Tamandua tetradactyla: one gene and its partners. The protein of the gene in region 1 interacts with the protein of each later gene in a biochemical or structural test. Links are inferred from orthologs where the notes say so. Each region holds a gene or a part of one and is shown on either strand. Other genes may lie near its edges. The genes, in order: RAD51AP1, RAD51 and DMC1.

The links.
Region 2: the proteins of RAD51AP1 (region 1) and RAD51 form a complex in vitro, tested with the Homo sapiens proteins (6 studies listed by BioGRID and IntAct). The link is inferred for Tamandua tetradactyla from reciprocal best matches to the Homo sapiens genes RAD51AP1 and RAD51.
Region 3: the proteins of RAD51AP1 (region 1) and DMC1 form a complex in vitro, tested with the Homo sapiens proteins (2 studies listed by BioGRID and IntAct). The link is inferred for Tamandua tetradactyla from reciprocal best matches to the Homo sapiens genes RAD51AP1 and DMC1.

The regions. Positions count from the first base shown.
Region 1 is NC_135333.1:66,778,391-66,788,715, forward strand, and holds the start of RAD51AP1 (RAD51-associated protein 1), read left to right. Parts: upstream 1-5,703; 5' UTR 5,704-5,853; coding exon 5,854-5,870; intron 5,871-10,325. UniProt on the Homo sapiens protein: Structure-specific DNA-binding protein involved in DNA repair by promoting RAD51-mediated homologous recombination.
Region 2 is NC_135340.1:53,974,143-53,984,913, reverse strand, and holds the start of RAD51 (DNA repair protein RAD51 homolog 1), read right to left. Parts: upstream 4,043-10,771; 5' UTR 3,775-4,042; exon of another isoform or gene 3,149-3,774; intron 663-3,148; 5' UTR 643-662; coding exon 556-642; intron 1-555.
Region 3 is NC_135333.1:30,911,634-30,922,232, reverse strand, and holds the start of DMC1 (meiotic recombination protein DMC1/LIM15 homolog), read left to right. Parts: upstream 1-5,531; 5' UTR 5,532-5,679; intron 5,680-7,111; exon of another isoform or gene 7,112-7,136; 5' UTR 7,137-7,144; coding exon 7,145-7,195; intron 7,196-7,766; coding exon 7,767-7,811; intron 7,812-8,733; coding exon 8,734-8,880; intron 8,881-10,599. UniProt on the Homo sapiens protein: Participates in meiotic recombination, specifically in homologous strand assimilation, which is required for the resolution of meiotic double-strand breaks.

The DNA of each region.
Region 1 (10,325 bases):
TTCAGCCAGTTACCAAAAATCTTCCCAAAAAGAAAAGCCCAGGACTAGGATGGCTTCACAGGGGAATTTTATCAAACATTCCAAAATAACTAACACTAATTCTGCTCAAATTCTTAAAAAAAAATGAGGAAAAAAGAATGTTAAATAAAGCTAACAACACTCCAATACCAAAACCAGATAAAGATGCTACAAGAAAAGAAAACTACAGACCAGCCTTCCTAATGAACACAGCTTCCAAAATTCTCAACAAAATACTAGCAAATCAAATCCGATGACACATTAAAAGAATTATACATCATAACTAAGTAGGGTTTACACCAGGAACACAAAGGCTGTTCAATACAAGAAAGTCAATCAACGTAATATATCACCTTAACAAAGTGAAAGGGAAAAAGCACATGATCATTATCGATTGATGCTGAAAAAAGCATTCAACAACATTCAGCATCCTGGCCTGAAAAAACACTTCAAAAGTTAGGAATCGAAGGAAACTTACTCAATATCATAAAGGGCCTATATGAAAAGCCCATAGCCAGCATCATACTTAACGGTGAGAGACTGAAAACATTTAAGATTGGAAATGAGACAAGGATACCCATTGTTACCACTATTATTCAACACTGTACTAGAAATCCTAGCTAAAGCAATTAGACAGGAGAAAGAAATAAAATGCATTCAAAGAGGAAAGGAAGAAGCAAAAATTTTTATTTGCAGATGACATGATCCTATACTTAGAGAACCCTGAGAAATTTATGAGAAAGCTATCTGAGCTAATAAACAAATTCAGAAAAGTGGTGGAATATAAGATTAATGTATAAAAATCAGTAAAATTCCAAACACAAGTAATGACCTATCTGAGGAAACAATTAAGGAAAAAATTCCATTGAAAATAGCTATCTAAAGAATCAGGTATAAAGGAATACGTCCAACCAGGGATGTCAAGACTTGTACATAGAGAACTACAAAACATTGCTAAAAGAAATTAAAAATGACCTAAATAGATAGAAAGGCATTGCATTCTCATGGATAGGAAGGTTGACTGTTGTTAAGATGTCAATTCTACACAAAATGAGCTACAGATTCAATGCAAAATCAATCAAAATCCCAATAACCTATTTTGAAGATTTGGAAAAGCTAGTTCTCAAATTAATTGTAAGGTAAAGAGACCCTGAATAGCTAAAGATATCCTTAAAAAAGAAGAGCGAAGTAGTAGGCTTTAAAGATTACTATAAAACCACAGTGGTCAAAACAGCATGATGCTAGCACAAAGATAGTATTGACCAATGGAACTGAATTGAGAGTACAGGGACAGACCACCAAAATATGGACAACTGATCTTCGATAAGGTTCCCAAATCCACTGAACTGGGACAGAACATGGGTACTGAAAAACAGATAGAAGTGACAGTAACTAATTTGTGGCATTATAAGTAACTTTGCTATATTGAAGGTGAATATGATTAAAAGGGAATGTATAGTGCCCATATATCCCACTGAGTAAATCTACAATTATAAGTAAGTTCTCGCATGAACTATTTCAAAGATTTGACATTGAACAAAGAGTTAATAGTAAAGAGGTACAGAGGGAAAACTAAAAATGCATGATATGGTCAATAGTTAACAAGAAGACATCAACAGTACCACAGCACTACCAGGGACAACTAATTGCAGGGGAGGTACAATTGATAAGGGGTAGTTTTGATTTCGATATTTGGTGACGCTGTGTGTCAGTTCTTTGTCGCTGAAGATAAATGAAACTTGTCCAAAATTGAGAATGCTGTTGATTGTACAACCCAGGGAGGATACCATAAGACATAGTTTGTTTATTTTGGGCATTATCTATGACGCCCATTATGGAAGGGAACTAAAGGATACAATGACTGAGAAGAATGGCAAACTGTGATACATGTATAGGAAAGAATATGGTGTGGCTACAAAAAAGGACACCAACAGGCATGCAACGAACTGAATAAACCTTGGAGATAATGTGGTACAAAATAAGCCAGAAACAAAAGAACAAATATGCTAAGGTCTCTTTCAGAAAATACTTATAAGAAAAATGGAGCCTAGTTTGTAAGCCCTTATAGCAGCCACACTTAGTTTGAAGTTGTAAGTATATTCCTAGATTCTGAGACACTGAGCTATATGTGTATCAGACAGTATTTCCCTGGAACTCTAAGTAACTGTGATACGTAAGACACAAAAATGTGAGTGCTGAGCCCTGAAAGTTAGCACAGCTATGTACTATAACAATTAAAGTAACCAAAAAAGAGATCAGGTCTCAATTAGAGATAAAAACAAAGCCAATCTGGCTGGGGCTAAGGTAAATCAGAATACAGAGTAAAAGATGATAGTTTTTGTACTCTAGACTTTCACTTACTGTATAAGACCAAAGGCAGAGAGGTTTATTATGTCTAGAATCTAAATTTTGTGTAGCACACAATCGAAATCAACCTGTTTGTACCGCTCATTTAAACAAGCCAAATTCCTGGAGTCCTGGACGGAAACAAGGCCTATAATTCTGTATAGCTTAATGTAATATCAGGATACATCTCAGGACTATGGTTGGCTGATAATTAAAAAGTATTGGTTGAGAGTGTGAAGGAAAAAAAACCAAAACATGGAACTATTAAAAACTTTCCCAGCTGGGAAACTCCAGGTACCCTCTCAAACACTGGGGACTCCCAAGAAAACAGGCCAAGCCCTTGATTTTGAGGATTGTCCTTGTGAAATTCATTTCTGTAGCAGAGAAGCTAAGAATATTTATAATGAGGCCTAAGAGTTGCTTCCAGGAAACCTCTTTGGTTGCTCAGATGTGGCCTCTCTCTCTCTTTTTCTAGGCCCAACTCTGTAAGGAGGATCATCACCCTTCCCAATATGTGGGAGGTGATATTCAGGGGTGTGAAAATCTCCCTGACAATGTGGGGTACGACTCCAAGGAATGAGATTGGCCCTGGCACCATGAATAGACAACTGCCTTCCTGACCAAACGGAGGAAAAGAAATGTAATAAAATAAGGTATCAGTGGCTAAGAGAGATCAAAAAGAGTCAAGAGGCTATTCTGGAGGCTACTCTTATGCAAGCTTCAGTTAGATGGTGCTAGTTGCCATGGTTTGCTAAACCCCAATCAAAGTCACTCCTGTTAACTCTTAAGAACACCTAGGCTCGAACTCCAACTCTATAAAAGTTCCATGCACTGTTTGTTTTCTTGGAACCTATAATTTCAAGAGGGTTGCTAGGCCAGTAAGTCCTGAAACCCAGAGGGACCAACCTCTCCAAGAGTATCAATTAATTACATTCTGTGCTGGTTTGAAAGGAAGTATGCCCCCTAAAAAACCATGTTTTAATCAAAATCCCATTTCATAAAAGCAGAATAATCCCTATGCAATACTGTATGTTTGAAACTGTAATCAGATCATCTCCCTGGATGATGAGATTTAGTCAAGAGTGGTTGTTTAACTGGATTAGGTGACGACATGTCAAGACCATTTGGGTAGGTCTTGATTGGTTTACTGGAGTCCTGTAAAAGAGGAAACATTTTGGAGAATGGGAGATTCAGAGAGAGCAGAACGACATAGCCACAAGAAGCAGAGTCCACCAGCCAGCGACCTTTGAAGACGAAGAAGGAAAATGCCTCCTGGGGAGCTTCATGAAACAAGAAGCCAAGAGAAGCTAGCAGATGACGCCATGCTCACCATGTGCCCTTCCAGATGAGAGAGGAACCCTGACTGTGTTCACCATGTGCCTTCTCACTTGAGAAAGAAACCCTGAACTTCATCGGCCTTCTTGAACCAAGGTATCTTTCCCTGGATGCCTTTGACTGGACATTTCTATTGACTTGTTTTAATTGGACATTTTCTAGGACTTAGAACTGTAAACTAGCGACTACTAAATTCCCCTTTTAAAAAGTCATTCTGATTCTGGTATGTTGCATTCCAGCAGCTAGCAAATTAGAACACATCCCCTTATCCTTTAGTGTTGAACCCCTTAACATGAAAAAGTCAGAATGGGCATTGCCTAAAGATCCCTATAGATGGGAGAAGGATCAAAGGAGAAGGGGGTATAACACAGGAAACAGGATTTAACAAACAAGCATGATTGCTGAATCAGTATATTAATATTCCTTCTAGTTTCCAGTGTTTTGCAGCTGTTGGGGTGGAAGGGCAGCAGGGAGAGGAACTGAAATGGCGGAATGGTGGCCCATAATAGGCTCTGAAATCTCTTCCACAGCTGCATGTTACAGAAGGTGTTCTGTCACTGAAGGTATTAGGGAGTTCTTTGAAAATTATTGCTTTCTTTTCTTTGTAGGTATGCTATATTTCACGATTAAAAAACTTTTTTTTTAAAGAGACATTCACACTCACTTTATATTAAACAGCCTAACAGGTTTCCTTACCCCCAGCAAACCAACCATTCCCAACTCTCCAGAATTTAGACTGCCTTCATTAAAACTCCTGAGTGTTTACCACTGCCTCCTCCCCAAACTTCCCAGCATGGCATACAAGGGTGTCCATGATTTGATCCGCAGTTACATCCCCAGCTTCATCTGTACCATGTCCTCACTAGGCAGTGAGAATCCTAAGAACAAGAGTTGTGTCTTAACAAAAGTTGAACCACTGCATACAGAGTTGACTTTAGGCAAATATTTGTTGAAGGCAGTCAATGCAGTGATAAGAGAACGAATCTTTCATTTATCAGTAAAATGGCCCGAACTCTGACTCTGCCATTTACTTGCTGCCAGAGCAACTGTCATTCGGGGATAATGCATTTAACTTGCAGGACTGTCATAAGGATTGATAAAATAATATGAAGTACCTGGTAAACATGAAATGATCAATATAGAAACTAGTAATAATATAATTAGCTATTGGGGTGGGGTGGGGGAGCCTATAGGCCAATAGCTGTGTGCACATGACCAAGGCAGAAGCAGTAAAGGAATACTGTGGTAGAAAATTGAAAGTTATAAAAATATGGTGTTATGGTATAATTTTGTTCAAACGCAACACTTTCGGTAAGCAAAAACCATTAGCTCTAGTTTCGATCGGTTGGACATTAAATTTTATTGCAGTCCAACAAAGTGATACCTTTCCGCTTTTTTTTTTTTTACTATCTAAAGCCTCGCCTCAGTTTTAGCAGGGATGATAACAAGATAGGCTTCCCGTAAAAAAAAAAAATGTTGTGGGAGGAAGGCCGCACCTAGTTTATACAGTTAATTTAGTAGAGGTTCCGAGGGTAAAATTCGTCTGCGAAAAGGAAGGCGGGCTGCGGGGCCGAGAAACTCCAGCCAACGGAGCCCATTTAGGGGTTTTCAGACTGAAGGGCCTCGTTCTTTAGTCTCACCTTGTCTAGTCCCGAAGTCTTCAGCGATCGGCACACTCCGAGTGGTCCACGAGCCTCGGCACTAGGGATATCAGCTGTTTTACCTACTCGTTGTTACATCCAGCAGTTCCGTCGGCAGATTCCCCCACACCACCTCCTCGTCCCTGGTACTGGATGGAAAACCCATAGATCTAAGCACCACTTATTTCTTCTTGCTTCAATTAGGAAGGTGCATTTCTACTGTTATTGCGTATTTCAGAGACGGCGCAAAAGTCACTGTCATCACGAAAGTGCAAGGGCAAAGCGCAAACTCCGCTGGGGTTGACCGGATACGGAAGTGCAGTTGTCTTGGGAAGGGCCTGAACAAATGAGATTTTCTCAGGGCGCATGCGCTTTCGCAAAACTAGGGAAATGATTGGAGGACTGACTGTCAGTGGGCGGAGAGCTTCGTTCTTCGGTTTTAGGCGGGAGTTGAAACCGCCAGTGCTTCCTAGGAGAACTTGAGACCTGCAGATTTGCATCCTTGGAACGGACCATGGTGCGGCCTGTGCGGTAGGTAGTTAATGACATTCGACGGAGTTGGGGAGGAAGGGAAGGAAGATGCAGTGGGCAACTTAGCTTACACAGGAGTGAAGGGAGAGCTCGGTAGGATGGAGGGTGGGGATGGTGGGAGTTATATGGTTAGGGGAAAAGGCCTTATCAGGAAGAAACTCTCCAGGTTCCCGTCAGAGCCACGCATTCCTCAGAAATATCCTAGCATCATAGTCTTCTTCTCTCTCACTCTTTGCCGACCCCGCAAAAGACCTTGTTATGTTAAAATTTGAACAATACCTACTTAAGTGTTATTTCAGTTGTTCATCACTAGTTTTCTTTAACGTAGAAAGGTTAATTATCCCTATTTCATCGATTAAAAACTCCCAGGCAGAAAGGCAAAGATAAGTGAGTTGCAGGAGAATATTCAAATCTATGTCATCTGACTCCATATCCTCAGTGGTTTTCATTATACTATTTGCACCTATTCCCTACTTAATCACATTTGAGTGCCATGGAGGCTTAACGTCAACCATTCATTCAGAAAAGCTATTGAACATATTAACTTCTGTCCTATAGGAGGTGCTGGGGGGTTGCATTCCAGTGGGGGGTGGGTGAATAGGGAGCAGAAAATAAACATCACAGTGTGATAGTGGAAAAGATGGAAGCCCTATTCTAAATAGAATAGTTAAGCCAAGGCTCTCTGAGGAGATAACCCTTGAGTTGAGATATGAATAATGAGACAGAGCTAGACAGGTGAAAATCTGGGACAATCCAGGTAGAGGGAACAGCAACTATTAAGGCTTTAAGCGTGAGCATGTTCAAGGAACAAAATGAAGGCCACTAACACTGTAGAATAGTGAGCAGTGGGGAGAGTTGTAACGGATGAGGTCAGAGAAATAGGCAGTGTCCAGACCAGGTGGGGCCTTGCAGACCTTAGAAAGGATTTTATTTCTACAGAGGGATGCCAATGAAAGATTTTAAATAGGGGAGAAAAATCTAATTTTGGTTTTATAAAGGTCACTGGCTGCCAGTGGAGAATGAATGGGTGGATGGCATGACTAGAATGGGAGCAGAGCAGCCTGTTGGAAGGCTATGATGTCATTTTGGTGGCTTAGATTAGGGGGTGTTAAAAGTAGACATGGGATGGAATAGATGAATTTGGGATATATTTTGGAGGTACTGCTGATGACTTGCTGAAGTGAATTTCTTGATAAGGACAAAGAATCAAAGATGACTCCACAAGAATTTTGGCCTGAGCTGCTATGTAAATTTTTTTTTTTTTTAATATGGGCAGGCTCTGTAGATTTTTTTATTAATTGAAATGGAGGCGACTAGGAAATGGAACATGCTGAGGAGGTGTGGGGGACCAAGAGTTCTGTTTCAAACACATGTTTGAAATGTGTTTTAAGCATGCAAGTAAAGAAGATATAATCCTTTTATTTGAAAAGCATTTTTAAAAGTTCTACAGACCACTAAGGGTCCTTGAGATTCTTTCAGAGGGTCTGTGGGATCAAAACTATTTTTCATAATAATACAAATTCAAATAAAATATCTTATTTTCAAATAAGATATTTGCTTTTTCACTGTTTTGTCATTTGCACTGCAATGATGGGTAAAACTTCTGGTGCCTTAGCATGAATCAAGTCAGTGACACCAAACTTTACTAGTAGTCATTGCATTCTTTCCTGCCACACGGAGTGAAAAAAAAGAAAATGCCGGTTTCACTTAAAGATGTGCTTCCTTTGGAGGAATGGTGAGAAAGGGGGTAAATTCAACCTCCCCAAGTGGAGAATTCTTGATATTCTCACAAGCAGTGGGAACAACCAAAACAATAGGCTGAGCCCCCAATCTGGGGTTTGTTCATATGAAACTTAACCCCACAAAGGATAGGCTAAGCCTACATAAAATTAGGCCTAAGAGTCACCTCCAAGAGAACCTCTTTTGTTGCTCATATGTGGCCTCTCTCTCTCTCGGCCAACATAACAAGCAAACTCACTGCCCTCCTCCTCTCTATGTGGGACATTACTCCCAGGAGTGTGGATCTTCCTGGCAACATGGGACAGAAATCTTAGAATGAGCTGGGACTCAACATCAGAATTGAGAAAACCTTCTCGACCAAAAGGGGGAAGAGCGAAATGAGACAAAATAAAGCGTCAGTGGCTGAGAGATTCCAAACAGAGTCGAGGAGGTTATCCTGGAGGTTATTCTTATGCATTAAATAGATATCACCTTTTTAGTTAAGGTATAATGGAGAGGCTGGAGGGAACTGCCTGAGAATGTAGAGGTATGTTCTGATAGCCATGTTTCTTGAAAATGAGTGCATAATGATATAGCTTTTGCAATGTGATTGTATGATCGTGAAAACGATCTGATGCTTCTTTTATCTACCTTATTGACAGACGAGTAAAGCATATGGATTAAAAATAAATAAATAATAAGGGGAACAAATGTTAAAATAAATTTAGTAGATTGAAATGCTACTGATCAATGAAAGGGAGGGGTAAGGGGTATGGTATGTATGAATTTTTTTCCTGTTTTCTTTTTATTTCTTTTTCTGAATTGATGCAAATGTTTTAATTTGATGCAAATGTTTTAAGAAATGATCATGATGATGAATATACAACTATGTGATGATGTTGTGAGTTATTGATTATATATCAAGAATGGAATGAACATATGGTAAGAATGGTTGTGTTTTTATGTGATTATATTTAATAAATATATATATGAAAAAAAGAATATTCCTGATGAAACAGTAAGAATTATATTTATTGTAGCTCAACCCTTGGATGTATTTTTTTTAAATGAAGACTTCTGATTTTATTTTATCGTTGTTCAATGTTAATACTTCTCAAGGGGTTTCCATGTTTTATTCAGCTCTCAAATCTGAACTCTGAAGAGTAGGAGAGTAACAACAAGAATACACTTCTTTTTAATATTCTCTGTGAGGAAATGGAAAGTATGCATAAAGCACTTCTACATACCAAAGTACAATAGTTATCTCTAGGAAAAGCACTTGTGTGAATGTGTAAATTACAAGCTGAAATAGCTGCCTTGTTATACCATTTTTACTTGAAAGAACAACTAACTGACAAGCTAGGAGCTATTCACACTTGGAATATGGTGGACATTCTGGAAAAGGAACTTATTGAACCTGTCACTTCAAAGAAAATAACTGACAGCATTTGTTTCCAGTGATAAAATTTGTGCTGACTAGCAAAAATTAGAAGTTTTTTGGAAAACTTGTGTGTGGCACTGTAAACTTGATGGCTTCCCAATATTCAAAGACTTTTGGGATGAATTTGATGGTGATATTAACAAATGTGATTTTTGATATTGTGTAGTAAAGTATATAGATATTTGGAAGACCTGCATAACTCAGTGAACCAGTATTTTCCAGATTGCCAACAAATGATGTAACAAAATCATGCATCAGTAAAATATCCATTTGAAGTGCATGATAAACCAAGGGATATTAATGTATCAGAATAAGAAGAGTTCATCGAAACCCTTTCATATTCCACATTGCAACTGTTAAGAAGCTAGACTTGTCTATTTCCTTGGTTTAATTGTGTTCCTCTTGGTAAATTGGGGATATTAAGTTCACTAGGTTTTTTCAAATAAATCACAAGACTTCAATTCAAAACAAACCAATGCATTTCTCAGCACCCTAGCAACTTTTCTTACTCTAAGTCTGTGAGAAAAACTTGTTGCTTCTTGTACTGGTTTAAAATTATGTATGTACCCTAGAAAAGCCATATTTTAATCCTAATCCCATTTTGTAAAGGCAGCTGTTTCTTCTAACCCCTATTCAGCATTGTATGCTTGAAACTAATACATCATCTCCTTGGAGATGTGATTTAATCAAGAGTGGTTGTTAAGCTGGATTAGGTGGAGGCATGCCTTGGGTGGGTCTTGATTAGTTTCTGGAACTTGCTGTGCTGAAGGCAAGAAACATTTTGGAGAAAGCTGGAGAGATTCAGAGAGAGCAGAGTCTACCAGCCAGCAACTTTGGACATGAAGAAGGAGAACACCTCCTGGGGAGCTTCATGAAACAGGAAGCCAGGAGAGAAAGCTAGCAGATGATGCCATGTTCGCCATGTGCCTTCTTACTTGAGAAAGAGACCCTGAACTTCACTGGCTTTTGAAGCAAGGTATCTTTCCCTGGATACCTTAGATTGGACATTTCTATAGGCTTGTTTTAATTGGGACATTTTCTTGGCCTGAGAACTGTAAACTAGCAACTTATTAAATTCTCCTTTTTAAAAGTCATTCCATATCTGGTATATTGCATTCTCTCAGCTAGCAAACTAGAACACTTCTTTCTAGTTTGACAAATGTCAAAACATTTGTATAGAACTTCTAGCTCCTGATGTCTCTGAAAACATTCCTTGTATCCTAATTCAAGCAATTTGCCGTTATTTAAGACCTAACTATCTAACCGCTTAGCCCTTAAACCTAATTTCTTTAATT
Region 2 (10,771 bases), on another chromosome or scaffold:
CACTAATACTGTACCACTGTACAATGGACAAAAACAGCACAGGACCCCAGCTCTGGCGCTTAATGCTTTTGGGCAGTCTTGCATTGGAGCTTGGCTCTTTTCCCTTTATATCCCCAAGTCCTTCTTTCTGCCTGTGACAGCTGCCTTGCTAGTAACTCCAGCACAAATCTCAGTGATATAGAGAAGTTGCTCCTTTCTCCCTGCATGGCTGCGCACAAGCCACTGGAATTCTCTGGACAGCACGTATATACTTAAGTGCAAACGGCACAGAGACTCTACCAGGGGATTCTAAAGCTTTTTAGCATCTGACAGCCCAACTCTGAGAAAGAAAAATGATAACGTAGGAGAATTATAGACAAAAGAGCCCTGGCCAGACATGTTTAGCTCCTATATTAACCCTTCCCACAAAATCCTTGAAAACTCTCACGAAAATTCTCATTTGAGTTTTGATCTTGGATGGAAATGAATGATTTATGTAAAGGCTGTTATTTCTCCCAGCAGGTAGAAGAATCTTGTTTAACATTATAATCCAAAACTTAACAACTTAGCATTTACCTCTAATCGTGAAATAGGTTGTGGGCCAAAGCTTTCTTCTTCCACTGAAGTATCTGCATTTGCTTCAAGCTGCATCTGCATAGCCATTACTCGGGGTGTTCAATACTGAAAAATACAGATGGCCATCAAAAATATTAGAGAAACACTGTGGCTTAAGTATGGAGTTGCAAATTCAGTTTTACAATAAATCTCTGAAAAATTACTTGTTAGGCGTTTAGTCTAATCACTGACCTAACCATGGCAGGAAAAAGAACAAACCTTTCACCAGCATTCCCCTCTATTTAGATAGAGTTGTAACATAAAAGCTTCAGGAAGAGCCAGGATCACTTGGCTTCTTAAAGATGCACAGCTTCACTAGATTAACTATTCCCCTCTATATCCCTATCTTAAATTTCTTATATTATCTTTATACTCCTTGAGGGTAGGAGCAAAGTCTTATTTATTTTTATACACTTCATGATACATTATGCTAAGTGTTTGATAAATGTTTGTTAGAAGAATCCGGACATTCCAGTACTCTACTTTAAAAAAAACAACTCTCAACCTAGGAAAGGTTTAACAGCTTTCGTTCCCTTGTTTCCTTCTAGCAAGAGGAATTCTGGGGGTTGGCGGGGTGGAGCAAGGGAGGAAGGGAAGAAGGGAGGCAGGAGTGAAATGAAGATACAGAATGGCTGCCCATAAGCCTCCGTTCCTGAAAGGGAAACTTAAGCAAAGATCATAGCTTAATCACACACTTGTTGCTGTCAATAGGAGAGTGTGAAACTCAAGGATCACCATTTTATTCAATTACAGAACTTTAGACACCTCAGTGAATGAGAAAATGAAAAACATGCAAGTGACCCATTCAGTGTAAACCCTTCCATTTAGCCTAAGGCCTATAGAATTATGATTGCTCGCCTTGGAAAGAAGTAGTTTCAAATTGTAAAAATGAACGAGTCTTGATGTCCACAAGAATACGTCATCTTAAATAACATCAAAAGAGTCTGGACAAAGGGAGTGCACAGGTAGTTCAGTGGTAGAATTCCTACCAGCCATGTAATAGACCGGGGTTTGATTCCTGGCCCATGTACTTCCCAAAACAAGCAAACAAACAAATATTCAACAAATGGTGCTGCAATAACGGGATACTCACATGGAAAAAAGAATGAAATGTGACCCAGCCATACAGCACACAAAAAAAAAAGTTTTGGACAAATGTAATCTAAAAGATAAGAGATACATAAACAATGAACAAACATAAAAGATACAAAATTTCCATTCCTGGAGACTTGAGAAAAGATAAGATGACCATTTGTGTCCATTGGTTTGGGGATGGATCTCTTCCATGGCGATTTAGCATACTGTGAGTTTAGAATAATTCAATTTATCCAAATCATCTGGATGCAATTTAAATTCAAATACCTTTCTTTGTAATTTATGAAAACAATGGCACTGCAGATTAATGATGAAAGGATGGTCTTTTCAGTAAATAGAGATGGAATGATAAAATGAACTTTGCTAAAATATCACACATTATAGAAAAATATTAATTTCCAATTTAGATGGTAAATCTAAATGTAAAAGGTAAAGCAAAACTTTTAATATAGGAGACTATGTTCTTGCCCTTGGGGTAGAAAGGATTGCTTATACTGTATACAAAATGCAACAATCATAAAACAATGGAAAAGATAAAAATTGGACATAATATTCAGAACTTCTATTCACCAAAAGACAGTATTAAGAGAATATACTCAGGGGGGAAATTCTGCCACATATATAATCAATGGCTGACAAACAGAATAGACAAAGAACTCTTTCAAATCAATTAAGAAAAAGACAGACAACGCAAAGAAAAATGAGTAAGATTTAAACAAGCACTTCACAAGAGAAAATATCCAGATGGCCAACAAATATATGAACCGATGCCCAACCTCATTAATAATCAGGGAAATTTAAATTAAAACCACAATGAGACAATACTACATACCCACTAGAATAGCTAAAATTAAAATGACCGACAATATCAAGTGCTGGCAAGTTGAGTGACTCCTACAGGGCTGTGTGCATGTATACTATTTTGACCATTTTGGAAAACTAGCATTAAATGTGAAAGTTCAAAACAGACAAATACTTTGACTCAGGAATTGCACCATTCTGTGTATTAACCACCTGAAAAGCATGCACATGCACACCAAAATATATATAGGAATGTTCACAGCAGCCTTTCTCATAAAATCCAAAAACTGAAACTAAGAAGAATAGAATGGATATGGAATACTATTCTTTATGAATCTACAGACATAATGTTTCATGAAGTCAGTCACAAGATAATCCATAAAGTATTATTTCATTTACACAATATTCAAATACAGACAAAATTAATCAATGGTATTATAAGTCAGTGGTTACCTCTGAGGAAAAGAGGGGCAAGTATTGGAAAAGGTTGTGCAAGGAAGGCTTCTGGGGTGCTGACAGCGTTTTATTTCTCGACCTGAGTGGTGATTACACAAGTATATTTATTTTGAATACACAAATGCATACAGTCGTGATGTGTGCATTTTTCCCTCTACATACATTACACTATACTTGGTAAATTTAAGGGGGGAAAACTCACTTCCCAGCATTCCCAGGCCACCACGTGACCAGCCTTCCACATTAGATTATGAAAATATTTCTTGGCAAATGAAGATTGGCACTTTGTAAGCAAAACACGGTGTGGCGTCAAGAGAAATGACCAGGAATCCGGAAATCATGGCTGTGGCATTAAAAAGTTGTGACTTTAACTAAGTCACTACACCTCCTTAGGTCTCGACTTCCTCGCCCACAGAACGGGTGTTAGGCTTGAAGGTGTCTAAGGTTCCTCCCAGTTCCGGTTGTCTTCACAACGAGCTCTGAAAGGCGGTTGGGCCTGGAACCCGCCCCTGCTCCGCCATCTCCAGTTTCTCAGCACAGAGGATAAGCGGCGGGAGAGCAAAGGCCCAGGTCCCATTCCGGCCAACGCGGGGACGAGCCGCGGAAAGGGGCCGGATCTGCGCCTCCACACTCACCTCTGCCTGCAGCGCCCCTCGCTCGCCAGCCGCGCGCTCTGACCTCTGTCCGCTGGCCCTGCGCGGGCCCGACCCCGGCCAGCTCCGGCCTCCTCGCTAGTGCCCCGCTTCCTTACTCCCCTGCCCAGGCTGTCTGCGCACAATCCAAGCGAGGCTCAGCTCCCAACTACGCTTGCCGGAGCGCGCCTCAGCTTTCCTCAGGCCTGGGTCTGGGCCTCAGCTCGCACTCTGCTCGGCGGCTTTCGGAAATCCCGCCAAACCCTCTCGGGCAGGGTCACGCCTGCGTCAGCGTAACGTGTCCCCGCCCTTCTCCAATCCCCCCGGAGCCGCTTTGGACACTGCATGCGAGCCCGAGGGATGGGTCCAGAGAACCAGCATGGTATTATAGGCTTGCTCCCTTTGTTTTACTCTAAGGATTATTTAAAATTTTCTGAACTGCTGTTCTCGTCTCTCTCCCAGATCGAGGACTACAACTCCCAAGAGGTAGTGGGGTCACCCGGAACTATATCTCCCAGCAGGTACCGCGGTTGCCGCAGCCCCCACCCTCGTCCCTGTGGTGGATAATCTGGTTCAGGGGACGGTTTTTTTTTACTTTGTTTCTGCGGTGTCTGAACCTGGGCTTTTGGCATTTCGCCAGACCTGAGTCAGTCAATTTCCCAGAGCAAGTTGTTTTCCAGGTCCCTGGAAGTGGTGAAACTGGAGAAACCATAGGAGATGAATGAAACTAGGAAATTGAGCTGAGAGCTAGCTCTCCAGAAGTGGAGAAAGAAATAGAAATACTGCAGGCTATCTCGGAGACACTGGTAGTTCGGTTCTGTACAACCGCCATAAAGCAAATATCACAATAAAGCAAATATTGCAATAAAGTGAACCACACAAAGTTTTTGGTTTCCCAGTGTATATAAAAGGTATTTACATTATACTGTAGTCTATTAAATGAACAATAGCATTGTGTTTAAAAAAAAATTGTACATACCTTAATCTTAAAATGTTTTAAATTTTTATTAAAATTTAATAAATTTTAGAAGAAATAAAAAGGTTTTATTTCTGAAAACTGCTAATCATCTGCGCTTCCAGGAGGTTGTAATGTTTTTGCTGGTGAAGCTTCTCACTTGGATATTGGTGGCGGCTGTCTGATCAGGGTGGTGATTGCTCAAGGTTGGGGGTGACTGTGACAATTTCTTAACATAAGACAACAATAAAGTTGCTACATCCATTGACTCTTCCTTTCGTATCTCTCTATAGCATACAATTCTGTTTGATAGCATTTTGACCGCAATAGAGCTTCTTTCAGAATTGGACTCACTCTTTTCAAAAGCTGCTGCTGCATTATTAACTAGTTTAATGTAATATTCTTGTCATTTCAACACTATTTAACAGCATCTTCACCAAGAGGAGATTCCATTCTCAAAAACTCTTTGCTCATCCATACTAAACAAGCCTCATCCGTTTAAATTTAATCATGAGATTGCAACAATTCTGTCCCATCTTCAAGCTCCACTTCTAATTCTAGTTCTCTTGCTTTTTCAACCACATCTACAGTGACTTCCTCCACTGAAGTCTGGAAACCCTAAAAGTTGTCCATGAGGGTTGGAATCACCTACCAAACTCCTGTTAAGGTTGATATTTTGACATCCTTCCATGAGTTATGAGTGTTCTTAATGGCATCTTCGATGCTGAATACATTCCAGAAGGTTTTCAATTGACTTCATCCAGATCCATCAAAGAAATCCCTCTCTATACCAGCTATAGCTTTACGAAATGTATTTCTTAAATAACAAAACTAGAAAGTAAAAATTACTCCCTGATCCATGCTTTGCAGAATGGATGTTGTATTAGCAGGCATTAAAACATTAATCTCACTCTACATCTCCATCAGGGCTCCTGACCAGGTGTGTTGCCAATGAGCAGTCATATTTTGAAAGGAATCTTTTTTTCTGAGCAGTAGGTGTCAACAGTGGGGTTAAAATATTCAGGGTGGGTCACGGTGGCTCAGCAGGTAAGAATGCTTGCCTGCCATGCCTGAGGACCTGGGTTCGATTCCCGGTGCCTGCCCATGTAAAAAATAATAATAATAATGGTGTCATACTAATAAAATAAAAAAGTTCACAATATAATTACTGTATCAAGATATACTAAAAAAATATATATATATATTCAGTAAACCATGTTGTAAACAGATAGGCTGTCATCCAGGCTTTGTTGTTTCATTTAGAAACCACAGGCAGAGTAAATTTAGCATAACTTTTAAGGGTCAGTATTTTCAGATTGATAAATGAGCGACAGCTTCAACTTAAAGTCACCAGCTGCATTAGCCCCTAACAAGAGAGTCTGTTTGTCCTTTCAAGCTGTGAAGCCAGGTATTGATTTCTCCTCTCTAGCTATGAAAGTCCTAGATGGCATATTCGTTCAATAGAAGGCTGTTTCACCTGCATTGAAAATCTGTTTTTTTGTGTAGCCCCTTTTATCAATAATCTTAGCTATATCTTCTGGATAACTTGCTGCAGCTTCTACATCAGGACTTGCTGCTCCACCCTGTATTATTATGTTACTCAGACAGCTTCTTTACTTAAACCTCATGAACCAAACTCTATCTTCAAACTTTTCTACTGTAGTTTCTTCAACTCTCTCAAGCCTTCAGAGACTTGAACAGAGTTAGGGCCTTGCTCTGGAGTATGTTTTGGCTTAAGGGGATGTTGTGGCTGGTTTGAACTTCTATCCAGATCACTAGAACTTTCTCCGTATTAGTAATAAGACTGTTTTATTTTCTTATCTTTGATGTGTTCCTGGCAGTAGCACTTTTAATATCCTTCAAGAATTTTCCTTTGCATTCATAATTTGGCTAACTGGTGCAAGGGGTCTAGAGCTTTCAGCCTGTCTTAGCTTCTTCGTTAAGCTTAATCATTTCTAGCTTTTGATTTAAAGAAAGAGACATGCAACTAACTCTCCCTCTCACCTGACCACTTAGAGGGCAGTGTAGGTTCGATTGTTGGGTCTAGATTTTGGATGACTTTTGCCTTCATCTGCAACGATCTATATATGTCTGTTAGGTCTAATTCATTTATCACATTGTTTAGGTTCTCTATTTCCTTATGATTCTCTGTCTGGTTTTTCTTCTATAGAGGAGAGTGGTGTATTGATGTTTCCCACTATTGTTATTGAAAGGTCTTTTGCTCCCTTTAGTTTCGCCAGTATTTGACTCATGTACTTTGGAGCTCCTTTATTGGGTGCATAAGCATTTATGATTGTTATTTCTTCTTGGTGAATTAATTCTCTGCTTTATTAATATGTAGTGTCCTTTCTTGTCTCTTATGATATCTTTGCATTTAAAGTCTATTTTTTCTGATATTACTATAGCTACCCCTGCTTTCTTTTGGTTACAGCTTGCATGAAATATCTTTTCCATCCTTTCACTTGGCATCTATTTGTATCTTTGGGTCTAAGATGAATATCTTATAAACAGCATATAGATGGATCATATTTTTAAATCCATTCTGCCTATCTGTATCTTTTAATTGATGAGTTTAGTCCGTTGACGTTGAAAGTTATTACTGTAAAAGCAGTTCTTAAATCTTCCATCTTCTCCTTTGGTTTTTATTTGTCAGATCTATATATTTTTCCTCTCTCTGTTTTTATCCTTTAAGTTACCCTTAGTAGTACTCTTCAGTTCTGTGCCCTTCTCCAGACCTCCTTCTCCTATCTTTGTTTTTCAGCTGACAGTACTCCTTTTAGTATTTTTGCAGGGCCGATTTCTTATTAGCAAATTCTCTTAGCATTTATCTGTCTGTGAAAATTTTAGTCTCTCTCTCACTATTTTTAATTGTTATTTAAGGCCTTTATTAACAGATACTTGCAATTTGTTGACTTTTTTGAAAAAATTAAGTTATAAACTTTTATTACAAATTAAATTAAATTAAATTGGATCTTCTTCTCACCTAAATTTACATATTCTCTCTATGTGGTCTTCTAGGGTTTTATGGCTGTTTTTCTTCTTCACCACTGTATTGTCAGTGCATAATTCAGGGCCTAACTTAGTAAACAATAAGGAAGTATTTGATGTATTAATGAATAATTGTTTCCTTACATCCCATCACCCAACCCAGTTCATAGTTAATGTGCCATTAAAAAAAAAAAACCCTATGCTGCATAGATAATGCAGGTAGTTCTAGTTATCTGGTCGACTGGCAAAAATCAAGCACTTAAGGTCTTCAGCTCCAATCCTTTGTTCATTTCTTATTGCTGGAATTTCATATTCACTTCTTGTTGTATGACTGAAGCAGATGATGATAGAGATGGTAAGCTAGCATTTACTCAGATCCACCCTGCTCAGCCTTGGGAGCAGAAGAATCCTCAGTTGGTAGATTGGCTACTTTTGTCTCTTTGCCATCTAGTGGTTTAGGATTTTCTGAGTGCTGCATCAGTAACTGAAGTTACCACGGTGCCAATGTTGAGGTGGCTGCTGACCTTGGGTCTCATTTCCTTGATTTTCTTTACCATTTTCATTGCTGTCCTCTCCAGGCTGTTTTTGGCAAGGAGGGCCCCTGCGGAATCCTGGTCTGTAACCCAGATACATATTCTGCCTCACTGGTCTACATTGTTCTCCTGCACCCTGGTTGTCAGTACCCTCCATCACTTCTCCTTGCACAGGAGGGTTGAAAACTGTGGATGACACCCACAGGGTCTCTGCATGTAGTAAGGTGGGAATTGTCGCCTACAGTAGGGCCAGTGTTGTTGGCCCTGGCCTTTGGGAGCACTCCCTGATCCCTCGTTATTTTCCCCATTCTCACTATTCTGGTAATTTTGCTGGTAAATTGCATGGAGGGCCCCTACAACATGGAAAATGTGTATAATGGTTACAGTCTGCTGCATATTTACTGTCTTGCTCTGGAACTCCACCAGGACCTGTGATGTTTGCTACCCCTGCCCCCTTTTCTCCTTCATCAACATCAAACTCCACAGTCTGTCTCTTACGCTGTGAAGGTACTTCTTCTTATGGCAGTCTGGTGTACAAGCACATCTTCCTTAGTATCATTCCTGTTGATGAAAGCATATCCATTTCTTGCATCAAACCATTCTGCTGTTCCCAAAACTTTCCAGGCAATGATCTTGTCCCTGTAGGCAGGTGCCGCCAATGTGAGGCCGCTTGGGATGCTGCTTCCTGTGCCACTGCCTGTGGCACTGAGCTTGGTGTCAACAGCACTGAGGGCGGGGGTGGTCGCAGCTGGGGTCTCATGGTTGCGGCGTTGGTGAGGAGGGCCGGCTGTGGCAGCTCTGGCTCCTCTGGGGCAAGATGGTAACTAGGCCAGCAGTGGTGGGGGCTCCGCTGCGCAGGGCTCTCTTCTCCCTCACTTTTGAAGGACAACTTTGATGGATAAAGAATACTTCACTGGAAATTTTTCTCTTTCAGAATCTTGAATGTATCATACCACTGCCTTCTTGCCTCCACGGTGCCTGTCAAATAGTCCAAACTGAGCTTTATGTGGCTTCCCTTGTATGCAGTGAATCACTTTTCTCTTGCTGCTTTTGGGACTTTCTGCTTCTTTTCAGCATCTGACAGTTGATTAGTATGTGTCTCCAAGTGGGCCTATTTGGATTTGGGCTTCTTTGATTAGCATATTTATGTCTTTTATAAGGGTTGGAAAGTTTTCTCTAATTATCTCCTTAAATAATCTTCATAGCCCTTTATTCTTCTCTTCTTCTGGGACACTAGTGATTCTTATATTTCTATGCTTTTTGTTATCCATCATTTTCCTAAGATCCAATTCAAAGATGTCCATCTTTTTCGCCATTTGTTCTTTGTGTGAATTCAGTTGTCCTGTCCTCTGCTTGCTTATTCTTTCTTCTGCCTCTTCAAATCTGATGTTGTGTGTCTCTAGTATATTTTTAAACTTTTTTTATTGTATGGTATAACATATATACAAAGCAAAGAAATAAAAAATGCAATAGTTTTCAAAGCACTCTTCAACAAGTAGTTACAGGACAGATCCCAGAGTTTTTCATGTGCTACCATATGATCCTCTCATATTTTTCCTTCTAGTTGCTCTAAAATATGGGAGGCTAGAGTGCGTAAATATTTTCATCATCATAATTGACTTTTTTTCCTTCTTTTTTTGTGAAAAATAACATATATACAAAAAAGCTATAACTTTCAAAGCACAGCACCGCAGTTAGTTGTAGAACATATTTCAGAGTTTGACATGGGTTACAATTTCACAATTTTAGGTTTTTGGTTCTAGCTGCTCTAAAAACTGGAGACTAAAAGAGATATCAATTTAATGATTCAGCATTCATATTCATTTATTAAATCCTATTTTCTCTATATAACTCCATCATCAACTTTGATCTTTCCATCCCTCTGTTTAAGGGTGTTTGGGCTATGGCAATTCTAAACTTTTCATATTGGAAGGGACTGTCACTAATATGGGATAGGGATATGAAACTGTCTGATGTTCTGGAGAGGCTGGGCTAAATTTCAGGACTTATCTGGACCAGGGACCCATCTGGAGGTTGTAGATTTCTGGAACATTACTCTAGTGCCTGGAACTCTTGTGGAATCTTATATATTGCCCGAGGTGTTCTTTAGGATTGGCTGGAATGGTCCTGGTTGGGGTTGGCAGATTATGATAGGTAGCAAGATCTAACCGAAGCTTGTGGAAGAGCAACCTCCAGAGTAACCTCTCGACTCTATTTGAACTCTCTTTGCCACTGACACTTTATTAATTACACTTTTTTCCCCCATATGGTCAGGATGTAATTGTTGATCCCACGGTGCCAGGTCTAGATTCATCCCTGGGAGTCATCTCCCACATCACCAGGGAGACTTTTACCACTGGATGTCATGTCCCACGTAGAGGGGAGGGCAATGATTTCTACTTGCAGAGTTGGGCTTAGAGAGACTGAGGCCACATCTGAGCAACAAAAGAGGTCCTCCAGAAGTAACTCAGGCATGCCTATAGGTAGTCTAAGCTTCTCTGCTACCTACATAAGCTTCACAATTTAAGTCTCCTGATCAAGGGTATATCCTCAAAATCCAGAAATAATAATCACCATTCCAGACAATGTATCTGCTCTAAAAGCTTACAGTCTAGGCCCCTGTTTTCCTATGAGCATTTTCTAAAGGTGATCATACCATTCTTGTTCTTTTGTTTCTGACTTATTTTCTCTCACCAAATGTCCCACATGTTTATTCA
Region 3 (10,599 bases), about 36 Mb from region 1:
TTCCAAATTAAAATATGTAATTGACTGACTTTATATTTTTTAGTTGAAAGGTGTAAGATAATTTTACAAAGTTGTACTAAATTATGGAATATTCATGAGGACCTGAGAGTCACTGTTTAAGTTGATTATACTTTAATAGAGTAGTTTAAGAACTTTGAAAAGTTTGCTGATCAGGTCAAGCAATAGAAGAAATTCAAACATATTAAAGTTAATATTGCTGTTTGAATTGTTTGATGGAAGTTAATTAGTTGTAAATGGGACAAATTTATTTAAGGGCGTTGGTCTGTTGAATTTGAGTTGGTGAAACATTGATCAAATAATTGAAAGCAATTATTAAAATGTATTAGATCTATAAGTAAAACATTATTATTGAAGGTTTAAGGCAAAGTGAATTTTAAAATGTATTACTTTAATAAATTAAACATTGATTTTTTAAAAAACCGTCTAGCATACAAGCATAACGTTTCCTTTAGTTACCATGATGTATCAACAAAGCCTGATTACCTTTCAGCTTTAAATGATAGTGAGATAAATAAAATTATAGTATCACAAAATTAAAAGTATAGCGCAAAAGGACCGGATACAAAAAACTCAGAAATGGACAGCACAATACTACCTAACTGTAATACAATTTTGTTAAAACACTGAATGAAGCTGCATGTGAGAATGATAGAGGGAGGAGGGCTGGGAACATAAATGAAATCAGAAAGAAAGATAGATGTTAAAGATCGAGATGGTATAATCTAGGAATGCCTAGAGTGTATAATAATAGTGAAATGTACAATGTACAAATTTTTAAAATGTTTTTGCATGAGGAAGAACAAAGGAATGTCATTATTGCAGGGTGCTGAAAATAGATGATAATTAATACTTTAAAATGTCACCTTATGTGTGAGACTAAAGCAAAAAATGTTTGTTACAAAATTTATATTTTGACTAGAGCATTTTCTAATATAACTCATGTAGATAGTTTGATTGAACGTCATAAGTACTTGGAATCTCAGGTAGGACATGAGATTTTGTTGGTTTGTCCAGAGTGATGCCCCGATGAATCCCAGAGTGATTTGATCAGTGACTGGAAAAGTATTTGCAAGCCCCTTTCGGGGAATGGTGAGAGCAGGGAGAAATTCAAATTCCCCAAGTTGAATTCTTGATATTCTCACAAGCAGTGTGGACAACCAAAGCTATAGGCTGAGCCCCCAGTCTTGGGGTTTGTTCATATGAAACTTAACCCCACAAAGGATAGGTCAAGTCTACTTAAAATTTAGGCCTAAGAGTCACCCCCAAGAGAGCCTCTTCTGTTGCTCAGATGTGGCCTCTCTCTCCAGCCAACATGACCAGCAGTCTCACCACCCTCCCCCTCTCTGCGTGGGACATAACTCCCAGGGGAGTTGCCTTCCTGGCAACGTGGGACAGAGATCCTGGAATGAGCTGAGACTCAGCATCAAGGGACTGAGAAAAACCCTAGAATGAGCTGAGAATTAACAGCAGGGGATTGAGAGAAACTTCTCGACCAAAGGGGGAAGAGTGAAATGAGACTAAGTGTCAATGGCTGAGAGATTCCAAATAGAGTCGAGAGGTTATCCTGGAGGTTATTCTTATGCATTAAGTAGATATCACCCTGTTGTTCAAGATGTAGTGGAGAGGCTGGAGGGAACTGCCTGAAAATGTAGAGCTGTGTTCCAGTAGCCATGTTTCTTGATGATGATTGAACAATGATAAAGCTTTCACAATGAGACTCTGTGAATGTGAAAACCTTGTGTCTGATGCTCCTTTTAACTACCATATCAACAGAAGAGTAGAACATATGGAATAAAAATAAATAATAGGGGGAACAAATGTTAAATTTAGTTTGAAATGTTAGTAGTAAATGAAAGCGAGGGGTAAGGGGTATGGTATGTATAATCTTTTTTTCTCTATTATCATTTTATTTCTTTTTCTATTGTCTTTTTATTTCTTTTTCTAAATCGATGCAAATGTTCTAAGAAATGATGAATATGCAACTATGTGATGATATTAAGAATTACTGATTGTATATGTAGAATGGAATGATATCTTAATGTTTTGTTTGTTAATTTTTTTAATTAATAAAAAAGTTTTAAAAAAAAAGAAAATTAGTAACTAGTTAAAGTGTTTCCACCCATCGTGGTGCCATCCTTTATTAAAAATACAGTTTTAACCTGCAAAAAAAAAAAAAAAAAGTATAGCTCAAAGATAGGGGACCATGGTCTGCCTCACGTCAATCTCTCCACTCGTGTCGTGTAAAAAGAGCTGTAGATCCTTACTGAAGGGACTGTGTCTAGAAATGCCAGGCAGCAGAGAAACGGGAAATGATCCAGAGGCATAACTAGGTGCTGTGGAGTTGGGCACCCAGTGCTAAGAAGCTACTTCCCAGTGGACATCTCAAGGATGTAAAAGAAATTTCCCACTTTTCCAAAACATACTAGAAGCAGCTAATTCTTGGTAATGATGGTAGTTGTTTTGGGGGTTAACTTGATATATATTCTGACTGGATCAGAGAACAGACTGTTACACTCACAGAGCATCTTAGCACCTGTTCCCCATGCTCTAGTTCCCCACAGAGTGACACAAAGGGCCAGATATCACCTGTGAGTGCAGTGGGGTTTAAACCACAGGAGAGGAACACCAAAATTATGAGACTTGAAGTTGTGCAGGGCATTACACTTTACTGCTCCTCCTTCCCTCTGGAGATAGACAGAAAAATGTCAGTACTGCCTAAAACTTCTCTAGGAGAGAAGCCAAAAGTCCCTAGGTTTTACAACTCTGAAACATAAGCAAATGAGAGGAAAGATGTCTCTAAGTTTTATTACCTTCAGAGTGAGCGCAAATGGCTTCAGGGAAGAAAAATCTCTAAATCTCTCTCCAGAACAATGCACCCATCTCTAATTTCCAAGGCCTATTTGCCATTCAATCATAAAGTCCATACCATGCAGAAAAGTGAAAACATTCATGGGGAATTGTCTCTCAATAGGAGAGAGGCAGATCTAAGGTTAAACTACGACAGTAGCACTTACTGTAACTATTTATATATTCATTTATAGCCCCCACTAGGGTTTGTATATTGTTTTATGTTGAATCCCTACCGCCCAACACCTTGCCTGACAAATAGTAAAGATTCAATACATATTTTTGAATGAACTAAATACGTTTAAATGAAAATGTGCCCATGGAATTCTTTTTGTGATAACCCTTCATTCTTTAATTCTCTGCTAAAGCATTTCTCAAATTGAAGCTCTTAAGCCTCCAAGTATATCCATCCACAGGCACCAATTTTCACAAACTCTCAGGAATCAGGTGTCTCTATTTGGTTATAAGGTAGTTGTCCACAGAGGGGCAGTAAAGTATAATTGTTCAGGTCCTGACTGTAATCCCATTGCCTGTTTATTTTTATTTTTAAGAATATCAAATGATAACACGAAAGCTTTGTCCTCTGTTCTGGTTTCTAGAGAACTTGGGCTAAGGTATGTTTATTACAGATTTTTTTTTCCAATTAAAAAATTGGATTGTAAAAAAAAAGAATATCATAAAAATGACACAAAATTTCAAAATTTTACAGAGAAATTGTAGACACCCTGAAGGATTTATGAAATTGGGCAAGCTTTATTACCCTGTTGGCTAATAACAGGACAAAAGCTCTGGCTTGCTATGCTTTATATCTAGGATAGGAAAGTGGCATTTTGCCATGAAGGATTTTTTTTAATGCAGCCATATTGATCAGTCTTTTTGGCAGTCCTTTGTGTCATACTCTTAAACCCTTTTCTTATTCTGAGATTTTAAAAAAATCTCCCATATTTTCTTTTAGCACTTTTATTACTTTATCGTACAGATCTAATTTTTTAATCCATCTGGAGTTTATTTTGATATAAGGTATGGTACGTAGTTATTCCAACACAATTCATTGAACTCATCATTTCCTCACTATCTTGAAAGGCCAACTTCATACTCAGATTTCTGTATGATTTGAAAGTCTCGCTTTTTTTTGTTGTACTGTCTTAAGTGGAAAGGTCTTTATGCGCAATTTTTAACTACCCCAGAGTTTTGAGCTTTTGTTCTAATCATTTTAAAGTTGTATATAACTATCAATATGATATCCAAACAAGATTTTTGTCTTCACATCATGAATTTGTTATTGTCAACCACATTTCTGTTTCTTTCTTTACGTGTACTGCACACAACCTTCAAATATTATGACCATCTCTCTCCCAGCTGTCACTACACCAAACTACATATGTTATATTTCCCTAAATCATCTTGCTGTGCTCTTTGCAGCTTTTCTGTATACTGCTGATGTCTTCATGTAACAAGATGCTCAGAAGTTACTATAATTATTTTAGGTGACTCTCAGAGTGAAAACCTGTCATCACTACCCAGTTCATCCCCAGAATGGGTACTCATTTCCATTTAACAAGAAGGACAGGCTATGTTTCTGGAAAATAACAGAATTTGAAGAGCTATCCTGGTTATTTATTGGCTCTTTAGACAATCCACCTGGGGGGGGGGGGGATGTCCTACAAAACACCAACTGCTATTGTGGGAAGGTTTTGCTATTTATTCCAGTAAAATGATTCAGACATCAAAGAAAAAGTGTCGCCCTGTACTGGGTCTTGAACCCAAAGAACTGTTTGCACTGATATTCATCCAAGATACATCACAGCCTCCACCTCAACAGATGCTCTTTCAAATGTTTCACGACTCTGCTCAACAACAGTCTCCATTTAAGGATGACGCTGCCAGAGATGGCTCTGCTGGCGTGAAGGCTGGTCTAAGACTTCTGTTTAAAAGCTGGACCAAAATATGTTTGGTTTCTCTTGTCTATTTAAAACTTCGAGTTCAGATGAAGAAAAATTACTCTCCATCCGAAGAGTGTCTCAATCACAGACGAGCGAGTGGTAAATGTAACAGAGTTATAGAGAAGAGCGAGTAGGAGATTAGGGACAGTGAAGTCTTAGGGACAGGCTGTGAAGCCAGGCATGAAAAACGTGGGCCGGATTCCTCGACCTCCTAACCCAAGGGTTCCGATTAAACCAGCATTCTGCTCCTCACTGCCCTCCGCCACGTCAGCCTTCTCCCCACAGTCCCCTCCCTCAGCCTCAAGGGCTTCCACTTCCGTGACCCCCTCCCTCGAATCAGCCACTCCCCCAACGGCCTCTCCTCAGCTCGGAACAGCCCCACCTTAGGGCGCTCTTGCCTCCAGCAGCCTCTCTTCAGCGACCGCCCCAGTACTCCCTAATTTCTCTTCTCAGCACTCCCACCTCAGAGTCCTTTCCCTGACTTCAACATTTCCCTCACCCCAGGGGACGCCCCAGCCTCTCCTCAGCACACTTCCTCAATCCCAGCGCCCCTCCCTCACCCCAGCACGCCACCCCCAGGAGGCTCCGCCGAGCTCTAGGTTCCCTGGGACCCCACCCGCTCCCTCGCTCTCCGCCCCGCCCCTTGGGCTCCGCCCCCCGCGAGCTCCGCCCCCCCGCGAGCCCCGCCCCGCCGCGAGCCCCGCCCCCGCCCCGCCCAGGCGGTCGTCGTTTGGCGCCAAACTCTGGTCGGTGACGCGCTAGTGGCCTCAGGCGTTCGGTGTTGGAACCAGAATCTGAGAAGCTGAGGACTGGAAAGCCCGGCCGGGGGCGGAAGGGATTCACCTTGAGAACCTCAGGGAGAGTGTTGGTATGAGGACGTGGGGAGATGGCAGAAAGAAAGCGTGGGCGAAACCTGAGGGGATGGTCAAGCGGAGTTCGCTTTCTCGCCCCTTTCTTTGATGATACTCGGTGGTCGTTGCTGGGGCCTGGGCTAGTGGCTTACCCCACCCCCGAAGGCTTCTCAGTGGCCTAGGGGGATTTCCGGCATTCAAATCAAATCAGACCGAAGTCTTGATGACGCCCCCACGGCCTTCTTTCTTATGAGGCAATCGGGTGTCAGGGAAGTGTCTGGCAGCGGCGCTGGCTGTCGGGGTCCCAGGTCCGCGGACGCCCCATGCGACCAGGCCTCCTGCTGAGGGGGGCCTCGCGGTGACCTGCCAACACCCCCCCACACACACGCGCGATAAGGGACAGCTCCGGTCCCCTTAAATCGAGGCGGCAGGCCATGGTGTAAAACCCAGATGACTGGGAGTCCAGAAGATGGACTTTTCAACCCATCAATTGAACAATCTTTTCCTTTTATCAGGGAGGAAGAAATGGATTTTTTTTCTTTAATTCAGTGCGGAGAGCGGATGTGGAATTGTGGGTAATCATAAATATAACTGTCTGAAGGACAGTGTTCCAGGAGAGCCCATTTAAACTGTCTCCACATTTGCCTCCTATACCTACCTGTTTAGAAGTAATAAGTAGTAAGAACCTTACTTCTACATTAGTAGTTGTTCCCAGTTCTACTGGGCTCCAACCCCTAGCTTTGCTATTCAGTGAAGAGATGGAAAGGGAATACAGTCATACCTAGTAGACCAGGAGTTTAAAATAATTTTTTAAAAACAATTTTAAACAACTGTTACAGTGTTAAATAAAAAACTATTTAATTGTTTGTTGGCCCTAATGTTATTATATTGAGTATCTGCTATATTTTTAATCTTAAAAAATATCATGAAACTAGTAAATGCAAAGATGCATGTTACAAGAGAGACCATTCCTAATCAGCAAGTAGGAAGTCATCATATATGAGAAAATAAAATCTATTTACTGAGAATAGACTATAGTCTAGGTGCCAGGGAGGATGCAAGGAAGAATAAAAGTCAAGGTTCTTACAGCGTTGTTTTACATAAACATAAAAGGTTAAATAGCAATACGCAATTTTAAATAACATTCCAAGGCAATAAAGATATTATCAGAAAGTTATGATTAACTGTGCTATACAAAATAAATATGATTAAAAGTGAGCAGTGGGGAAGAAAGAGAGAAGAAATCAAACAATCCTCCCCACCACACCAACAAACTAAACAATACCAAAAAAGAAGATAGACATCCCATTCTTTGCAAACTAAATGCTTTTCTTATTGTCCTTCTTGTCCTTAATGACTTTGAAATGAAATCAAGGAGGCTTCTGGGCAAAGGATCATGTACTGTATGAAGTATAACTACTTTTTAAATAATACTTCTTAATTTCCCAGAATTGATTTTTTTTCTGCTACCCAGCTTTCAATATGAAGGAGGATCAAGTTGTGCTGGAAGAGCCAGGATTCCAAGATGAAGAGGTATGAATAGAATGTTGAAAGATATGTAGCCATGCAATCATTCCACAAAAATTAAGTTCCTTCTCTGTTAGCTACTTAAAGAAATTGCGAGACTAGAAATAAGGCAGTTCTATAGAGAGGCAATATTAAAACTATGTAAGTTGTTACAACTTATACAGCAAATGGTTTATCAACTGGACAGGAAAGCATTTTAATACAGCTTGTATGGCCAGACTGGTATCTATGTATGCTAGTATCAAATAGCAGCCTGATTGTAGAGGAAAGAGTTCAAAGTCTAGTGGAGAAGAGGGTTGAGAAACAGGTTTAATGCTTTCCATTTCTTTGGGTAAAGGCCTTAAAATTGGGGGGGAGGCCGTGACAGAGGTTAGGTTTCCTAGCCATTTCAAACTTGGCACTTCTAAGTATGTAACAGTGTGTTAGAAAAACATTAGTAATCCTTTCTCCATCTGTCTAGAAAGGTGGAATTTGAGGTATTTTGGAGTAACTCATAATACTGAATTAACTTTTTCAAAGATGTGAAACAGTTGGCCATGAAGAGTCAGAACTCAATTATTTTTTCCATTTCCTTTAGGAATCTTTGTTTCAAGACATTGACCTATTACAAAAACATGGAATTGTAAGTATTTTTCAGTGCTGTGTTAAATTGTCCAATTCAGTATGTTTCAGCCTCGGCCTTATTGACATCTGGGGCTGGATAATTCTTTGTCTTGGGAATCTGTCCTATGCATTGTATCGTGTTTGTCAGCATCCCTGGCCTCTCTCCACTCACTACATTTCCAGTAGCATCTTTCCAGCTGTAACAACCAAAAATGTCTCCAGACATTGTCAGATGTCTCCAGGGGATAAAATTGCCCCAATTTGAGAACCACTCGTCCAACTGGAGGTGTTCAGTCCATGTCATTTCTTCCTACATCTACTGTCTTCATTAACAGAAAATTCACTTCTATATTTCAGATGATCAGAGTAAATGATGTTGGTAAAAATCCACACTGAGTGACAAACTAGATGAATTTCAACAATAATCAATTGCTCTCTGACATCTTTTGAAGTTTTCACATTTAATCTCTTTCAGTTGGTTTTAGAAAATAGAAACAAGAGAAATCCTGGTCCCTACGTGATGTAGTTATTTACATTCTCCAAGGGCAGAGGAAAAAATCTTTTAAATAAATTAAAAATGAACATATTGGTAATGAAGTTCTGTAGAAGGAAAGAGTTGAACTGAGGGGGTGAACGCGTGAGAAGTTTGTTCGTTTTTCCACTAACAGACTTTTCTTTTAAATTCCTTGTTACATTGCCATGGTCTCACTAACATTCTTGGGAAATCAGGGCACAGCCAGAACATTTGGCAGCCTGCTGGGTATGTTCTACACAGATATTTCCAGAACATTTGGCTACATTGTGGGTGGGTTCCACCTGGCTGCTTGTATAAAATTGGCATCATGGTAGAAAGAAATGGACACAAAAGCACATGACATAGGGTGAGAGGCTTTCAGACTGGCATTTTATCAATCTGCTATGCCCATTCTTTTATTTTACAGAATGTGGCTGACATTAAGAAACTGAAGTCAGTGGGAATCTGTACCATCAAAGGGATACAGATGACAACAAGAAGAGCCCTATGCAATGTCAAAGGGCTCTCAGAAGCAAAAGTGGACAAAATTAAAGAAGCAGCCAACAAACTTATTGTAAGTAAAATCCATTCTTTGCTCATTTAGCTTAAAAAAGTCTTGTGTGTTTTTGTAGCCTTTTTTCATTATGAACACCAGAAACTACTGTGGAAACTCAGAGTTCCTGTAAATCACAATATTATACTCTACATGTTAGCATTTAACACTTCAATTTCAAAGCAATGGCAATTTATTTCTGAAAGATTGAGGTAGGGGTTAAGCTGGAACACTAATGAAGATGTTCTAGTTTTCTAAGTGCCAGAATGTAATATACCAGAAACATAATGGCTTTTAAAAAGGGAAATTAAATAAATTGCAAGTTAACAGTTTTTACGCTGTGGAAATGTCCCAATTAAAGTGAGTCTATAGAAATGTCCAATCTAAGGCATCCAGGGAAAGATACCTTGATACAGGAAGGCCCATGAAGTTCAGGGTTTCTCTCTCAACTGGGAGGCACATGGCAAACGTGGTCAGGGTTTCTCTCTCAGCTGTAAGGGCACATGGCGAACATGACTCTCCAAAATGTTTCCTGTTTCATAGGATTCCGGTAAGCTAATCAAGACCCACCTGAATGTGTGGAGACAAGTCTCCACCTAATCCAGCTTAAGATCCACTCTTGTTTGAGCCACATCTCCAGGGAGAGGATCTAATTACAATTTCAAACATACAATACTGAATAGGGATTAAAAGAAACATCTGCTTTTACAAAATGGGATTAGGATTAAAACATGGCTTTTCTAGGGCACATAAATCATTTCAAACCAGCACAGAAGGTAATTCCTTCTTACCCAAACTTTTCTCCCCTTCTGTTTGTTTACCTTTCATTCTCCTTTTCTTCTTCTTCTTTTTTTTTTAAATCTTCCTTCTACTTATTTTTGTCTTATCTCCTCAAAAACTACATCTCTGGTTGTTGCAAAACATGCAATACCAAAGAAGTTGTTCTCTTCTGGTATAGGTCAATTGATAATAGAGGATGGGGTTGGAAAAAGACTTCAGTAACAGTCACTGGGTCTGCATCTGTGCAGTAGAATTAGATATGACCAAGAATATACTCTCTGAGATAGCTGATCTAAGTAACTTATGCCTTACAAGTGGGCCCACAGACTATGTAGGGCCCATGCAGCTAAGAGGCTGCATTTGTCTTTGACCTAAACTTTCTTGTAGAGCTTTTGGGTACCATAGGAGGCAGCCAGATCTGGAAATAAAAATGTAAAGAAAGGTAGTCACTTTCTTTTAAAGTCTCCTTCTTTAAAGAAGAGCAGACTTTCCATTTCTGTTTGTGTGTGGGGGCGTCTTGTTCCCAAGGAGTTCTAAAATCTCTTCACTGATTCCCTTCACCAGAGGCAGTCAAAACAGGGGAGTAATGCCAGTGACTGCGGTTTTGGTAGTTAGATTCAGTTGTCAACTTGGCCAGGTGAAGGCACCTAGTTCTGTTGCTGTGGACATAAACCAATGGTACGAGAACCTCATCTGTTGCTGATTACATCTGCAGTCAGCTGGGAGGCGTGCCTGCTGCAATGAATGACGTTTAACTTAATTGGCTGGTGCTTAAATAAGAGACGCAACGTAGCACAGCCCAAGCAGCTTGGCATACCTCATCTCAGCGCTTGCAGCTCAGCCCAGGCCTTTGGAGATGCAGAAAGGAATCACCCCGGGGGGGGAAAGTTGTTGGAGCCCAGAGGCCTGCAGAGAAGGCCGGCAAAGATTACCCTGAGCCTTCCCACGTAAGAAAGAACC